Mus musculus: one gene and its partners. The protein of the gene in region 3 interacts with the protein of the main gene of each other region in a biochemical or structural test. Links are inferred from orthologs where the notes say so. Each region holds a gene or a part of one and is shown on either strand. Other genes may lie near its edges.

Region 1 (4,102 bases), on a different chromosome or scaffold from region 3:
TGCAGAATGCTTTGTCAAAACTTGCTTTGGGTGCCTGGAGACATGGCTCTGCAGTTAAGAGCACTGGCTGATTTTCCAGAGATGCTGAGTTCAGAGCCCAGGTCCCGTACTCCAACCTCCCACATGGCAGCTCACAAATGTAGCTCACCAATGCCCTCTTCTGATGTGCAGATGTACATGCAGACCAGACGTCCATATACTTCAAACCTTTAAACACTTCTTAAAACTGGCTTTCAGGCAGGAGAGATGGCTCAGCGGTGAAGAGCACCGATTGCTCTTCTGAAGGTCCTGAGTTCAAATCCCAGCAACCACATGTGAGCACATGGTGGCTCACAACCACCTGTAATGAGATCTGATGCCCTCTTCTGGTGAGAACTCCAGACTCAGCATACTGATAAGAACACCTGCCTGGCAAGAAAGCCAGGTAATGAGAACTGCTCTTCACTGTTCTCATTAAAGGGCTTCTGTTTTATTTCCAGGTTGCCTGGATCAATCCTTCTAACAGTTATCAGGCATGCTGGGCAAGCACTCTCCCAACAGAGCCACGTCCAGTGTTGCTGTTTAAAACATATGCATACAATTAGTAGTACCAGTAAATTTAGATTATTCTTAAAGAGCTGTCATTTCTACACAGCAACAAATGAAGTCATCCCAGAGGCTTGGAGGAACAACGGACCATACAAAGACCAGAGGCCATGGCCCCTCTGTGTGACGCTGCACGTAGCCTCAGTTTCCTAGTAGAGGAGTTTGCAGAAGGGTTGCCAGCCCCCCAGTTGTGGCTGGGCTCCTGCCCACATAGCTGTAGCGTTTTTCTACATGGAGAAAGGGGGCTTCCTCTACAGAGTGCACCTCTCTTTTCCCAGGCCCTGGTGCTCCAGTTTTGGAAGCCAAAACACCTGACTGCTTCTCGAATCATCCTTGAGTCATCCTTTGCTGCATACAGAAAAGAATGCATGCAGAGTAAAGTGAAGTGTTGGGAGGAAGCGATTTGAAGCCTGGGTATTAGAAGGGACAAGTTAACCCTTTCCTCCCCTCATCCCGGTTTCTCGCTGATGTTTCTTGCATCTGGAGGTCAGAGTCACTTTATGGTGGGACTACCCAGAGACTTTGAAGTGCTTCCTTGGGACCACAGCCAACAGCATAAACTGTTCCAATGGCTCTTTATGACGCGACGGGTCGTGTGTCCAGGGCAAGTGGTGCCCGACCGGGCTCAGAGCTGATCACGGAAGGGGATGATTTGCCCACAAGTCAGATGTTGGGTGGTCACTGGAGGCCGAAGCGGACCGGGGCCCGGGCGGAGCCGAAGCCCGGCGGCCAGGCTAGACTAGACGTGACGGGAGGAGCCGGCCGGCAGCACGTGACCGACAGCGGAGGCCGAGGCCCAGAAATAGCCGCCTTGGCGGTTCCGCCCCGCGGCCGGCGAGAGTCCTGGGAGACAGCAGGACGCAGGCTGGGCGCGGTGTGGCCCGGACGATGCTGCTGAGCCCCGGCCGGGCCCGACCCAGAGCACATGATGGCGATACGGGAGCTCAAAGTGTGTCTTCTCGGGGTAAGTCCTGGAGCCATCCTACGGGGGATCCCGGCTTCTGTGCGCCATTGTCTCTGCGCTGCCCGCCTCCCGTGCGCTTCCCCATGTCCCGCGCGCTCCATCCCGCGCCCGGCACCAGCCGCCTCCGCCCGCCACCAGATTCTCCCGAGCGCCCCGGATCGCTGCATCTGCGGCCGGGTATCTGGCAACCTTGGGGCTCGCCAGGCTGCGGGTCGGGCAGGGCGGGGTGGAGGGGTGGGAGGTGGGGGGGATTGTTGAGGACCAGAGGACAGCGGGTCATGCAGCCCCTGGGCCCCTAGGACTCTTGCCTCTGCCACTGGTGGCTCCCTCCCGGAGGAGTGTTTAAGTTAGGTTTTCCTCTGCCTCCTGCGGGGGTAGGTAGGGAGTAGTGATGGCAATTTCTTTATTCTCTCCGAAAACAAACCAACAAACCAATCCTTCCAAGCAAGGGAGGGAGTACCGGGGTTTTGGCCCGACTGCGAAGTATTAAGAGCAAACTCTGTATGAACTGTGTGTTCAGCACACTTTCCGTGCAGTGGATGAAAATGAAGCAGGATGAGAAACACCCGCCCCCAACACCCTTCCTCTTCCAAAACGAGTCTTAGTCCCAAGAAATATAAAAGCAGTCAGAAACAAAGAAAGAAACAACATCCAAACTCCGAGACTGGAGGGCCAGACTGACAAACTCCGGCACACTGCGCTGTCCCTTGAAATCTGCCCCCCCCCAGGGATTCAGTGTTTGGGGGTCATTTCCTTGGGGCTACCCACAACAAATTCCCGAAGTCTTCCCAAATAAGAGCTAATGTTATAAGCCATGTTCTCTGCAGTCTTCTGTAGTCTTTGGCATTATCACTGGGCATACCGCCCTGCCCTTGAAGTTGGCAAATCTGGCACTGCAAGGAAAAGTATTTCCTAAATAAAAGAGTAGGGCCGCATTCATTCTCCTCAAAGAAATGCTAATCAGGATGGTTATGGAGGTGAATACAGGCGATGTTGTGGATTAGGATCTGGTGCACCAGGGACTTGTGGTTTCACCTGGGCCCCGCCGAATCCTTTGATGGAAGTCGGATCCTCACACTGCCCTTGGCACTTCCCCTTAGCTAGTGGTTGGTGGAGAATCCCAGGGCTTCTGGCAAGGGCCTTTTCTTCCCCTTCAGTGTCAAGCAAGGCCTCCCCAGGGGCTTCTCACCCAGGAGGCCGGGCAGGATGCTGCTCTTGGAGTTCTTTCTCCTTAGAACTTTCGGTGTCAGAGTAGCAAGCTTCATATCTGCGGGGCTGTCCAGTAGTCCAGACCTAGGAATCCCACGGGAGAAAGGCCTTTGAAGATTTCAAAGGAATAGCAGGCCCCAAAGAAGAGGAAGTGTTGGTGCGAGGGGCATGTAACAGTTAGCCATGGGGAACGTTGAAACAGGAAACATTTTTGGCTCTAGGAGGTGACTTGCATCTCCTCCTTTGCAGTCCACCTAGGTGCCCAGGCACAGTCTCAATGACATCACCTTTAATTTTTAGTTTCAGTGTCCTATTGGGACAGTGACGAGTGTGGCAAGGACTCAGAACCAGGAGTCAGGAGGTCTGGCCTGTCTTCTGCCCCAGGGTGTGGGAGAGCCAAATGAGTGGTTTAACTGTAGACTGGACATATCATTCATTCCCTTCTCTTCGAAGGCAGAGAACTGGTACTGAATGGTCTCTGATGGTGTGTGTGTGTGTGGTGTGTGTGTGGTGTGTGTGTGTGTGTGTGGTGTGTATGATGTGTATATGTGTGTGTGTGATGTGTATATGTATGTGTGTATGTGTGTGGTGTGTGTGGTGTGTATGTGTGTGTGTGGTGTGTGTGTGTGTGTGGTGTGTGTGTGGTGTGTGTATGATGTGTATATGTGTGTGTGTGATGTGTAAATGTGTGTGTGTATGTGTGTGGGGTGTGTGTATGATGTGTATATGTGTGTGTGTGATGTGTAAATGTGTGTGTGTATGTGTGTGGGGTGTGTGTGATGTGTATGTGTGGTGTGTGTGTATGTGTGTGTGTGTGGTGTGTGTGTGTGTATGGTGTGGTGTATGTGGTGTGTATTTGTGTGGTGTATATGTATGTGTGTGGTGTGTGTATGTGTGTGGTGTTTGTGGTGTGTGTGTGTGTGGTGTGTATGTGTGGTATATGTGTGTGGGTGTGTGAGACCATTTCCTGCTGGTCTGTGATGATGCTAGAGATGCCAAGATGAGATGAGGGAACTAGAGAAACTCTTCTTTTTCTCCCCATCTCCACAAACAAAGCAATCTCCACAGGCTTTCTAGAGGCAATGCAGGTGCCTTATTTTGATTTTGGCCTCTTTATGATGGCCCTATCGATAGGAATTTGAACCTGGGGTGGGGGTGGGGGGGGTGGAGGATGCTGTAACAGAGAAAGAAGAAATTTCTGTAAGTTTTGAAACATTATTCATATCATTCCACATCAGCTGTACTCTGCTTTGAAGGTAGCTTGCTACACATTTTAGTGTTACCAAGGTCAGAAGATATTTTATTTCAAAGAGCAAGTGAGCTCGTCCATCCTGGGCACTAGTC
Region 2 (4,249 bases), on a different chromosome or scaffold from region 3:
ACATGGCCATGGGGTGGGATGGGGTAGTGAGACAGGAAGACAAAGGAGCAAAGGAGGCCACAGGAGAGGGGAGCGGGAAGGAGAGAGGGAGAGGGAGAGGGAGGGAGAGAGAGAGAGAGAGAGAGAGAGAGAGAGAGAGAGAGAGAGAGAGTCAAATAGTAGGGTTACATGGGAATGAGAAACTAGAAGAGGGAAGCTCATGACTTGGAGAAGTTTAGGGTAGGAAGTGGGGTGAGAAGAGCCACAGGTACTGAGTAAATCAGAAGGCTAGCCTTGTGTTTTGGTATGCTAATAGGCACCACAGAACCTTTCTGACAGAGACAAGGAATGACTCTTTTGATAGAAACCAGTGCCAGAATTTAGGGGAGTGGAGTATTTGGACCTATGCGGATCAAGGGAACGTCTTAAATAGGTGTGCTGTGGGCAGCCATAAACATCTTGGGCTGCTGTTCATTGGAATCTTAAGAACTAGTGTTATGGAGCCGGCTGCAGGCTAGACTATATCTAACCTGTGATCGTGGCCAAATTATTTGCCTCCCTCATTCATTCCACAAACATGCCAGGACTCTGTGTGCTTATCAACTGTGCTTATCAATGGGTGTGTGTGTGTGTGTGAGAGAGAGAGAGAGAGAGAGAGAGAGAGAGAGAGAGATCACTCCAAAATGTTTACTACTTAGTTCAATGGGGAATTCCAAATAAACGCTAATTATTAGGATTTCCTCCTTTTCACTCAAAAAACAAACAAAACAAAACAAAAAACCACACACACAGGTAAACTCTCAATAAAAGCAAGTTATTCTTTTGAGGTTTGCTGTCTAAAGGCAGCTTTTGAATTTAAGGGTCTTAATTCTCTCCGAGATCACAGACACGCCCATTCTCGGAAAAGCAGGGCATTTCCAGAGCCACAGGAGCCCTCGCTCGCCTAAACCCCTTTACTGAGCTGCTGAAGTGGTGTGAGAGGCCTGTGAGTGAACCATCAGACCGAAAATCGCCGCAATGGGAAGACAACCCAGGCTGACAATGGCAGTGGGGACCCTGTCAGCTCCGATGAGACCCATAAAACGCAGGTCTGGCCCACGCCTCTCGGGTTCCCAACCCGCCGGCTTAGAGCGCCGCCACCCAGATAACAATGGTGGTACTGAGGGTGGAGCCCCGGGGAGGAGGAAGGCAGAGCAAGGAAGTGAGTAGGTCTGGCCCCAGGGAATTGGAGAAGACACGTGACGCAACCCCACGCCCCCCTCTTCATTCCTGACGCTCCTGCCTCGCCTTGCAGCCGGAGCCCAAAGATGTCGGTTCAGATCAAGGAGGCGTTAGAGAGGGCCGAACTATTCTCCCTTAGCGCACCCGGGGATGTCACGTGACTTCGGCCCCGCCCCCTTAGGAAGCCGCTGCCGGCCTCCTGGGAGGGGCAGCGGCGGAAATGACGTCACGGCGTTCTTCGCTGCGTGCGGCTACGTGGCGGAGCCGGCGGAAGCAGTTCCTGCGCTGGAGCCCGAGTGTTTGTGTTTTGGTTCGTGAGGAGCCGGGGCGGTCTGAGGGGAGGAGACCGAGGGAGGAGGAGGAGGAGAACGACGACGACGAGGAAGAAGTCCTCGGAACTCGAGCGCGGCGACTCTGGAGGAGGAGGAGAAAGGAAGGCGGAACGGAGAGGCGGAGACGCAGCCCGGCAGGGGCGGCGGCACGGCGGGCGGCGCTCAGAGTCCCGCGCCGGCCAGGGTGAGAAGAAGGAGCGAGCAGGCGACGCCGCCGCTGCAGCCGCGGCGCATCCGATCTCCGGGCCGGGCCGGGCCGTGCGTGGCCTCGCTGCCGGGAGACGCGGCCCAGGTAAGCCGCCGTCGGGGCGGGTCCCTGTGGTCCCGGGCCGGGCTTGGGGCCTCCAAGCCGCCGCGGGCCCTCAGCGCTTAGTGACTCATTCTTCTAGCAGCTTCGGGGCCTGGGACGTGGGGAATCCTCTGAGGGAGCGGCGGGTGGCACCCTCTTCCCTTCACAAGATGGCGCCGTGGGAAGAGCCTGGGGCCCTGGCGGTCTCCAGCCCGGTCTTTGGGGCTCTGTCCCGGCTACTGAGCCGGATCGCATCCGGGGTGACGGGGGTGGCTCAGGAGCGCGCCCACCAGGCCCAGCGGAGCTCCTGGCCCCGGCACCCCGGTTTGATTTCTCGGCTTCTTCCAGACAGGAACCCAGGCCTCCAGCAGGTGGGGATTGGGGAGCTCCGCCTACCTCTGACCGGCTTGGCCGGGCTGTGCGAGTAGTGGGATCCTCTGGTCCCTTCCGTGGGAGGTGGGAAGCCCGGGCCAAGGTGCGAGCAGGTTAACATCCTAACGCCTCCAGAAGTTTAAAGCTTTGACTGTCACTCTTGGCATATTAGTTTTTGCCTCGCCGAAATGGATTTAAAGTTCTGAATCAGTTGCCTTGCACGTAACTAATTAAAAAAAAAAAAACTGTTACATCTTCCAGAATATTGAGGTCTGCCCAGAATCGTTCTTAATGTAAAATTTGAACCCGTGGGGTTGTGAACAAAGTAGGCAGCACAACAGTGCCTGGCACAATTTAAGGGCTCAGTGCAATTTTTTTAATCAAAGACTTCCTAACTGTATAAAAAAACTATTTTAAAGATTGGAGATGCATATTATGCAAAAGTTTTCTTTGACGGAATAAAAGTACAAGTTATAAGTGCAGAACCTCTGTGCACTGAGCAGTAGCTTCACTGAACACCCCCAGCCCTCGCACTTAACATTAATACCATGTTCAACCTGTGTAGGTTTATACTTGGGCTTATTTCCGTTTGAGGTCTTTGGAAGTAAAAGATTTAGTAGCTTTGCACTTTAAAAGACACTGACTGTGAAGGCACCCCGCCTGTCATCCCAGCACTCTGGAAGCTGAGGTAGGTAGGATCAGGAGTCCAGGCCATCCGTAACCTATCCTGTGCTTGCCTAGGCGACAAGTCCCTGTCCCTCAAAAATGTGATCGGGATGTGGGGCAGGAAACAGTTTTTAAAAACTAAGTACAAAATTTTGTTTGTATTTTCTGTGAGAATCGATGTTTTCCCTGAGATTTTGGAAGTACCATAGGAATACAGAACAAGTTTTGTCCTGGATAAGTCATTTACTGTTTTATAGGTAAGGAACAATTGAGAAACATTTAAGCTGAAGGTATGTTGGTGCCTTTTTCAGTCTGTATGAAGTCTATTGATCTACAAGCATTAATTAATTAACTAATTCACCAAGAGGCCATTTTAATTGCCAGTTTCAAACACTGTGTACTTAGTAAGCACTGTATCAGAGACTAGATATGTTGTCTTATTTAATTCTTAACAGTTGCTGTGCAATGTTAGGGTATAATGAATATAGAAAATTTGAAAATTAAAACTTAGATTGACATAGCTGAGACTAGACTTCAGAATCTGGTTTGTTTTATGGATTGGGGAGAAATGGGAATTTTGCTTAATTACTTTTGACAAGCTCTCACAGTATAGTTCTGGGTGACTTGAAACATGCTTTGCAGGCCAGGCTAACTTGGAACACACAGCCATTCATCCACCTTTTTCTGGCCCTGGAGTGCTAGAATTAAAATCTTGGCCCACTGTGTCTGTTGTTTTGAGACAAGCCTTGCTAAATATTTCTGACTGGCATGCTTCTGTCTCAGCTTCTCAAGTTCTAGGACCACAGACAAGCTCCATCATGCCAGGATGAAATGGTAGTTTTATTTATGTGCTGTTGGTTAGAAGCAGCTCAAACATTTCATCTGTAAATGTGTTGGTATTTATTGGTAAAGATAGGAACTCTTCAAAGCTAGTAACTAGATTAGGCTAGAAGATGGTATCTTAAAAACGGAGCTGGGCTTGGTGTGGCATACCTTTAATTAGAGAACTCAGGAGGCAAAGGCAGATGTACTGATTGATCTCTGAGTTCAGGGACAGCCATGGCTAAACAGAGAGCCGTTGTCTTAAAACAACAAACAGATAGCACGGAGATCTTATGGATATATTCGTTAATGAATTTGTCATTATCAAGTGTTCCATGTATTAATTCAAATTTTATAGGAAATATAAATTTCTATAATTAAGTATAAATTAAGTGTAGCTTTTGGTCAAAGATTTTTTTAGGAAGAAAATCCTTAGTATATTTTGTTTTTGATAAGCTTATAACCCACATTTAGTATATGCGTGTGATGTTTGCATGTGTATGTATTCCTGTGTGAAGGAATGTGCATTTCACAGCATTTTCATGGAGATCAAAGGGACAACCTTGGT
Region 3 (3,500 bases):
TGATTGGGGACTGAAAAAGTCATTCTTGCACAGATGTCTTTATAATCCTGATTCCTTCGTTCGAACTCTTCCACGTGGGCGGCCAGGTGCGAATTGACAATGCAGAAAGTGGTGTTGTGGAATACAAATCTTACAGCTACCCCACCTTTGTTTCCCTGTTAGACAAAGTATAATGTTACTTAGCACAAGGAGCAAGTGAATTTTGCATAGCTATAAATGATAATCAAATTAATTGCCAAAGGAACTCACCATTTTCCCCATGATTCCAGTTCCAGTTGTTTCTGTAGCAACATCTCGGATGTATTGACACTGATCTTTTCTGGCAAATATAAGAAGCATCATCCCCACAAGGCGGACCAGTTGAACCTATGAATTCCAGGAAGTTACTAACAGCTAACATAAGCGTCCCTTTCTGCTACATAACTAACTTCCTAGGATGACCAACAAGGTGATTACTGATGTCCAAACCTACATCTGCACCCTCTAATTTCCAATAAGACCTCATAAATTGGAAACGACGATTCTCTGTGGAAGCTCTAGTCTGGTTTTGATTAATAAGAGTTAAAAGTCTTGAGGGATAGTGTATAAGTCTCAGTTTTTCTCTCTCCCCACTTTTCTCTCTGTCTCTGTATCTCTCTGCTTCTATTTATCAGTGCTGAGGATCAAATAGAGAGCCTTGAGCATGTAATACAGCTATCTACCACTGAGCCACATCCCCAGTCTTAGACCTCTAAATCACATTGTAGCCTATCGAGAGTATATTAAAAGCCCAAATAGTAGTGTATAAGCCATTATCCCAGCTTGTTCCCCTTCCGTCCTAAAGAGCAACCCTTTGAATTTTGATTCTTTTTAACCTAAAGTTGAGCGAGAGAGCTGTAACATCCTCAAGAGTTATGCTACCTACATAAACTGTTCAAAACCATAGATTACTTTGAGCTTGGGATAATAGTCTTAAGATGAAAATAACTCTCCTAGTAGCTAAATGCCCCTAGCAGATATCTTCTAAAGACCACCAATTGGACCACCTTGCTAAAGCCAAGTTTATACTTGACCTACAAAGCAGTTCAGGATGTGCTGAATTCCCACAGTACTGCTATTCTTGCTCTGAATCGAAAGCACACTCTCTGCGCCCCACATACTCCATACTGCTTTTCTTGTAGGCATTTCATTCTGGCCATGCCAGAGGACAGTCTTATATTTTTATTACACAGACAGATCGGTTAGCTTATATTTAATTATTTGGATTACTAATGCAAAAACAATAAGTTGATTTCTTCCCCAAACCATCTAAAGGATGAAAATGCATGACCAGAAAGCTTATGAATTTTTTTTCTCAGAAGTAACTACAGCAGATTAGTCTCATACAGCACAGTATTTCATATGGAGAAGTCAATTATTTAAACCTTTTGGAAGAGGTTCAGTTGATGGAGTAACTCCCAGTGAGGCCTACTTCATTCTATACTGAAGAGAGAAGCGAGCGAGCGAGCGCAGCTTACTTTTCTATACTTGGCCTTCGAAGGCAGCCCCCTTTCCACAGCCAAGGACCACTCTTGCTCTTTCACAGACTCGAAGTAGAAAAAGGCTTCGGTGCTCAAGTCCAGCTCTTGGAATCTGAGGGAACAAATAGATGCAGGCACTATACACAGCCACAATTTTCTTTGGCTACATCCTTTCCCATTTGCTGAGACATTAGAGTAAAGAAAAAAAAAAAGAGTACGAGATAAATTTTATAAAAGACATGTCGGTTTTCTAAAGACTCTCCATAGGTTATAGAAAAGGAAACAATAACAAACGCTCCTAGGGCCAGTGGTGAGACCTGTCTTTCCCAACCGTTGACTAATCACTTTGAGCACTGAGCTTATCTGTTCCTGCGATGAGCAGTTCCCTATTAGGAGCTTCATTAACGGTTCCTTTTGACCCACAAAATTAACCCGCACACAGAGTGCACAGCAAGTGTTTACCAAACAAGTATGTAAGAACAAATATGCAGATCAAGGCGGGGGAAATGTCCCAGTCAGTAAAGTGCTTGCTAGATCAAGTGTGAGGACCCGAGTTCAAACCTCAGCATCCGTGCAAAAAAGCTGTCTGTGCGGGCATGTGTCTGCAATGCCAGCACCGGGGAACAAGGGATGGGAGGATCCATCTCTAGGGGTTCAGTGAGAGAGCCCATCTAAAAAAATAAGGTAGGTGCCAGGACAGCCAGGGCTACACAGAGAAACCCTGTCTCGAAAAACCAAAAAAAAAAAAAAAAAAAAGGTAGATAAGGCCTTTCCCATAGAAGTGGGTGGCAGCTAAGGTAGGAATTCATAACTGGCCAAAGTGCTGAGATTTAGTGATGGCAGAGCACTCTGCCACTATGGGCCATTTACATCACACTCAGGGAATACCTTTAAGAGGGTATGAAAAGAATGTAAGAGCCAGAAGATGGGGACATGTTCAGCAAAAAGAAACTTGTGGATGACATCGCCACTGTTCCCCTGAACTCGGTACAGCTGCACAGATTGGGCCCGTAAACATTTCATCATGGGCACAGGAGGAGCCCATGAGGCTCTACCCCTCCCTAAGGGACAAGGGGCAGTTAAAGATTGCTGGTGGAAGGGGTGTCACTTTCTTTGGTGGGAAAGCCACTGTTGAGTTGCTCTAGTAAATAGTCTCCCATCCATGTTCACACAAGAAACTCCAACTAAACTCAGCGGCTCATACATATGAAGAAGGCATGAGTGCAGTGGGGGAGTTTTGGGGGAAGAAGATGATGGGGGTGTAAACAACTAAAATTCATTATATATGTAAGCAAAATGTTTAATAAAAAGAGGAAAGGAAATAAGATGGAGAGTGATTGACCAAGACACCTGGTAACCTCTGGGGCTCACATGCACACACCAACACGTTCACACACAAACACATACACACAGATAAGAGGGAGGCTCAAGTCATGTTACACTAACACCAAATATAGGAGAAGGAAGGTCCAGAAGTTTACCCAATGCAGTAAATATCAGGAGGATTTGGATCACAGTCGAGCCAAGGTTCTAAGCTGCTGTCTGGAGACTGGCCGTTCACATTCCAAGTTCCAACAAAAAACCTAATAACGTTACAGCAAAAAAATAATTTAAAAACAAAGATCAAGGATAAACAAACACAATACTGCTTTTATCACTCCTATGAACGGGTATTTTGATTAACATAAATCTTCAAAGTGTTTTGCTAGACACCTAAGAAAAGAATTCTTGGGAGCCAGGACTCCAGATACATATGTAGCAGAGGATGGGCTGATCTGACATCAATGGGAGGAGAGGCCCTTGGTTCTGTAGAGGTTTGATGTCCCAGTGTAGGGGGGATGGTAGAGCGGTGAGGTGGGAGTGGGTTGGTAGGTGAAGGAGCACCCTCATAGAGGCAGGGGGAGGGGGGAATGGGAAGGGGGGCATTGGCGGAGGGGTAACTGGGAAGGGGGATATCATTTGAAACGTAAATGAATAAAATGATTAATAAAAAAGAACTCT
Region 4 (4,107 bases), on a different chromosome or scaffold from region 3:
TACAATCCTCAGATTTAGCAACAAATGACTTACTTTACTGGCTGAGCCATGTAGTCAGCAACTCAGATCTTTTTTTTTTTAATTTATTTATTATATGTAAGTACACTGTAGCTGTCTTTAGACACCCCAGAAGAGGGCATCAGATCTCATTACTGATGATTGTGAGCCACCATGTAATTCAGGACCTCTGGAAGATCAGTAAGTGCTCTTAAACACTGAGCCATCTATCCACCCCCCCCCACTCCTTTTTTCTTTTTAAGATTTGAGTACACTGTAGTTGTCTTCAGACACACCAAAAGGGGGCACTGGATTCCATTACAGATGGTTATGAGGCACCATGTGGTTGCTGGGTATTGAACTCAAGGCCTCTGGAAGAGTAGTCTTAACCGCTGAGCCATCTCTCCAGCCCTCAGATGTTTATCTTAATGTGGCTTTATTTTATTTTGTCACTGTTCTCCCGTTACTCCGGGACTACACCTCAACATATTAAAAAACAGAAGGGAAAAAAAAATGCTACTCTGAAACCTAGGAAAGTCACTTCACCTGTCTTCAGTATACTTACCATAAAACGAGGAAAAGATTACCTACCAAGCCGGGCTGGTGTGGGGTGAAGGACCTTGACTTATTTTTAAGTATAGATAGCACCCGCAAGCACAGAAAAGAAAACAAAACAAAACAAAACAAAAAACGCTGCCATTACTTGGAAATGATAACATAGCCCTACCGGCGCTGAAGCCCTGGGATCGCTCACGGCAATGGCCGGCTTGCCTGTACAGCACCTAAGTAAGTCCAATGGTGGGCGCCAAGGCCGAGGAGCGAGTCTGCAGCACATCTTAACCCGCGCCACTTTTGCACCGCCGAAAATCCTCCTCAGAAGCATTACCACAGGTACTTCCTGCGCTTCGCCTCAGCGCCGGCTGCGGCTACGGCTGCTGCTGCGCAGGCAGAGAAGGCGGGAAACACGAGGCGTTCTCTGCGCGCGTGCGCTCTCTGCCAGAGCCAACCGTCTTCCCAGTACGCTTGCGCCTGTTCACCAAGCCCGTCCCTCCCACTCTCTCATCAACCAGCGCGCGGAATTGTTGGGGTCCCTCCTGTCGGGGGCAGGGCCTGGACGCTGAAGGGCTGAGGAGAAGGCGCGCACGGGAAGGCGGGGTCAAGATGTGACCACACCCATCGCTGGTCATTTGACGCCCTCACCCTCGACTCTCCAGCACTAGCCAATAACAAACCTCCCTATACCAAGCGTCAACCAATGGGCTGTGCAGTCGGCTGCTTCCGGCTCTGCGCCGCTTTCGCCTTTTTCCCCTGGGCTCTCTGCGACAGGCGGGGCTCCGGGTGGCGGGCGTAGGCCTGGATGATGCGCGGCGGGCAGGGGGCCAATAGGGGGCGGGATCTGAGATGATAGACGGGTCCAGCGACCAGTGGCGAGGCGCCGGCCGTACTTCCCGTCGGGGAGAGAGTGTAATATGGCGAAGACCTACGATTACCTGTTCAAGCTGCTGCTGATCGGGGACTCGGGGGTAGGGAAGACCTGTGTCCTGTTCCGCTTCTCCGAGGACGCCTTCAACTCCACATTCATCTCTACCATAGGTAGCGGGGCCTTGGGCGGCCGGTGACCAGGGCTGGACGCGCCCCTATGGGGCTGGGCTGAGGGATCGACTCAGGATCCACTCGGGCCGAGGATCCGGGAGGGTCACGGGGCTGGACAGAGAACCGCAGCGGCCTCCACCTCCCGCCAGGGAGTCCAGGCCGGGACCCTGGCGGGCGCCGGAGACCAAGGTGCAGACAGGGACATGCAGGCTGCAGTCTGAGGAAGAGCCTGCCCTGGGGTCCTGGCGCCTGTCAACTCTCTGTGTCTTTACATCAGACCTCTACACTGTTCTTCCGGGGAGACCCCCGTCTTCCAAAAGTGGAAACTGAGGCATGGAGGTGACACCTGACCTCGTAGTTTCCTATGTGGCAAGCTTGGCATGTGCAGTATCAAATCTGTAGTGTACTCGTGATGGGTGCTTTGTCCCTGGAGGAGGAATTTGAAACTGAGGGAGGGTGCGGCACGCACTGAAGGTCACAGTCTACAGGTATTAGGGATGAGATTTGAACCCAGGTGTGTCTGACTCCAAAATTCAAGGTTCAGCTGTTCCAGAGCTTCAAAGGACCAGCACCACTGATCCACATCTAAGTCAGGACTCCAACCCAAAGTCCTCCTGCCTTCTCTCTGAGGAATGGTGACAGTATCTGTCATCCTGGTGGGAATACAAGAGAAAAAGTTCCAGTAAGAAACTAAGTCCAGCCATGGCTACGTGCAGCCTTGACTGACTTCCTTTCACTGGGCCAAGAACACCACCTGAACAGCTTTTCCCCAGGGCTGCCTCACGGCACAGTTGAACAGAATTGGCTTGTGATGGCCCCAGTTCTGACGTCAAAAATGGTGCTGACCATGCTCCTTACCATGAATAGTCATGGCTCACATTGAGTGTTACCTGGAAGTAAATCCTGCCAAACAGAGTGACCTGGATGGTGTATGGTCCTGAAACAAGAGAATAGTCACTAGGCTTGGTTTATCCCTAGTCAGGATGTGGTTCCATTGTTGGAACCCTGGGTGCCATCTCCAGCACCCTGAAACCAGATGTGGTAGTGAACACCTGTAATGACAGCACTAAGGACAGGGAGGCAGGAAGATCGGGTGCTCAGGGTCATCCTTGGCTACATAGAGTGTTCAAGGCCAGCCTGGGCTGCATGAGACCCTGCCTTGGAAGGAAAAGGGAAACTGGGGGATGATTTCTGTGTAATGTCAACTAAGTTGTTGTCTCCCTGACCTGACCGTCATGTGATAATGCCATCTAATATCTCCTTCCCAGTCAGTGTTCTGAAGCAGTCGTGTGTCAGGCGTCAAGTATAGGGAACTGGACAGGGAATCATCATACTTGAACTCTAGGTTGAGCAAGCTCTAACCCTCACTGACCCAATTTTATTTAGAGTAGATATGGCACTGTCTGTCTTGTCTGGTGCCCTGGGTGGTTGAGGATTAGATCTATACAACCAGTGGAAGGTTCAGTCTGGAGGAAGCAGAGGGTTTGGGCACAGGTGCATTTAAAGCCTCTCCCCCCACACACACCCCCACCCAAACACTCAGCTTTGGAGTTACCCTCAGGTGAGGACCAAGCAGGAAGTGACAGTAGCTACCCACAGGCTCTGGTTTGTTCTCAACACAGACCTCAGTTTCCCATCCTCAGACACTTCCTAGTCAACACCAACATGGTGACATTAGTTCAGGGGTGTTTTGTTGTTGTTGTTCAATTTGGCATGCATGCATGTGTGTGAGCATGTTCCTGTGTGCATACAGGAACAGTCGGGGTTATTCCTCAATCTTCACCTCATTTTTAAAAATTATTTTATTGGGAGTGTATGTGTATGCTTATGCACATGTATGGGTCAGAGGACACCTTTTAAAGTCTGTTCTTTTCCTCCCACCATGTGGGTCCTGGGGATTGATCTCAGGTTGTCAGGTTTATGGGTGAGTACCTTCACCCACCAAGCTATCTTTGCTTGGTCTCTCACTGATCCTGGAGCTCACCAAGTTTGAGGCTGGATGACCAGCAAGCCTCAGGACCCTTCTTTCTTGTCTCACCAGTGCTGTAATGTTATGTAAGTTTATGCCACCATGCCCAGGTCTTCATGCTTTTGTGGCAAGGACTTTAGGGATTGAGTCGTGTCCCTAGCCCTTGTTTGTTTGTTTGTTTGTTTGAGACAGGCTAGCTATATAACCAGGCTGTTCTGGAACTCATGGAAATCATCTGCCTCTGGCTCCCAAATTCCAATGTCAAAAGGCAACTTACAGGAGTCAGTTTCCTCCTTCTACTGAGTAGGACCCAAGAATTGAACTCAAGTCATCAGGCTCAGTGGCAAGCACCTTTATCCACTGAACCATCTTGCTGACCTGTATTGCTTATTTTGCATCTCATATATGTTTGTTCAATTTTTCTTTTTGAAATACTGGGGATGGAGCCAAGGGCCTCAACACAGGTCAGCTACACATCCTTTTCCATCTGGCTGGCTTAAAACATTTTTTTTAAGTTTTTTTTTTTTTTTTTTAATATAGGTGAGTAC

What was found.
Region 1: the proteins of Ocrl (region 3) and Rab31 form a complex in vitro, tested with the Homo sapiens proteins (2 studies listed by BioGRID and IntAct, with this or other methods). The link is inferred for Mus musculus from reciprocal best matches to the Homo sapiens genes OCRL and RAB31.
Region 2: the proteins of Ocrl (region 3) and Rab5a form a complex in vitro, tested with the Homo sapiens proteins (2 studies listed by BioGRID and IntAct, with this or other methods). The link is inferred for Mus musculus from reciprocal best matches to the Homo sapiens genes OCRL and RAB5A.
Region 4: the proteins of Ocrl (region 3) and Rab8a form a complex in vitro, tested with the Homo sapiens proteins (2 studies listed by BioGRID and IntAct, with this or other methods). The link is inferred for Mus musculus from reciprocal best matches to the Homo sapiens genes OCRL and RAB8A.

Annotation. Positions count from the first base shown.
Region 1 is NC_000083.6:65,769,953-65,774,054, reverse strand, and holds the start of Rab31 (ras-related protein Rab-31), read left to right. Parts: upstream 1-1,302; 5' UTR 1,303-1,510; coding exon 1,511-1,549; intron 1,550-4,102. UniProt on the Homo sapiens protein: The small GTPases Rab are key regulators of intracellular membrane trafficking, from the formation of transport vesicles to their fusion with membranes.
Region 2 is NC_000083.6:53,477,785-53,482,033, forward strand, and holds the start of Rab5a (ras-related protein Rab-5A), read left to right. Parts: upstream 1-1,449; 5' UTR 1,450-1,824; intron 1,825-4,249. UniProt on the Homo sapiens protein: The small GTPases Rab are key regulators of intracellular membrane trafficking, from the formation of transport vesicles to their fusion with membranes.
Region 3 is NC_000086.7:47,932,956-47,936,455, reverse strand, and holds part of Ocrl (inositol polyphosphate 5-phosphatase OCRL), read right to left. Parts: intron 3,083-3,500; coding exon 2,981-3,082; intron 1,612-2,980; coding exon 1,497-1,611; intron 367-1,496; coding exon 250-366; intron 156-249; coding exon 1-155. UniProt on the Homo sapiens protein: Catalyzes the hydrolysis of the 5-position phosphate of phosphatidylinositol 4,5-bisphosphate (PtdIns(4,5)P2) and phosphatidylinositol-3,4,5-bisphosphate (PtdIns(3,4,5)P3), with the greatest catalytic activity towards PtdIns(4,5)P2.
Region 4 is NC_000074.6:72,159,893-72,163,999, forward strand, and holds the start of Rab8a (ras-related protein Rab-8A), read left to right. Parts: upstream 1-1,307; 5' UTR 1,308-1,466; coding exon 1,467-1,590; intron 1,591-4,107. UniProt on the Homo sapiens protein: The small GTPases Rab are key regulators of intracellular membrane trafficking, from the formation of transport vesicles to their fusion with membranes.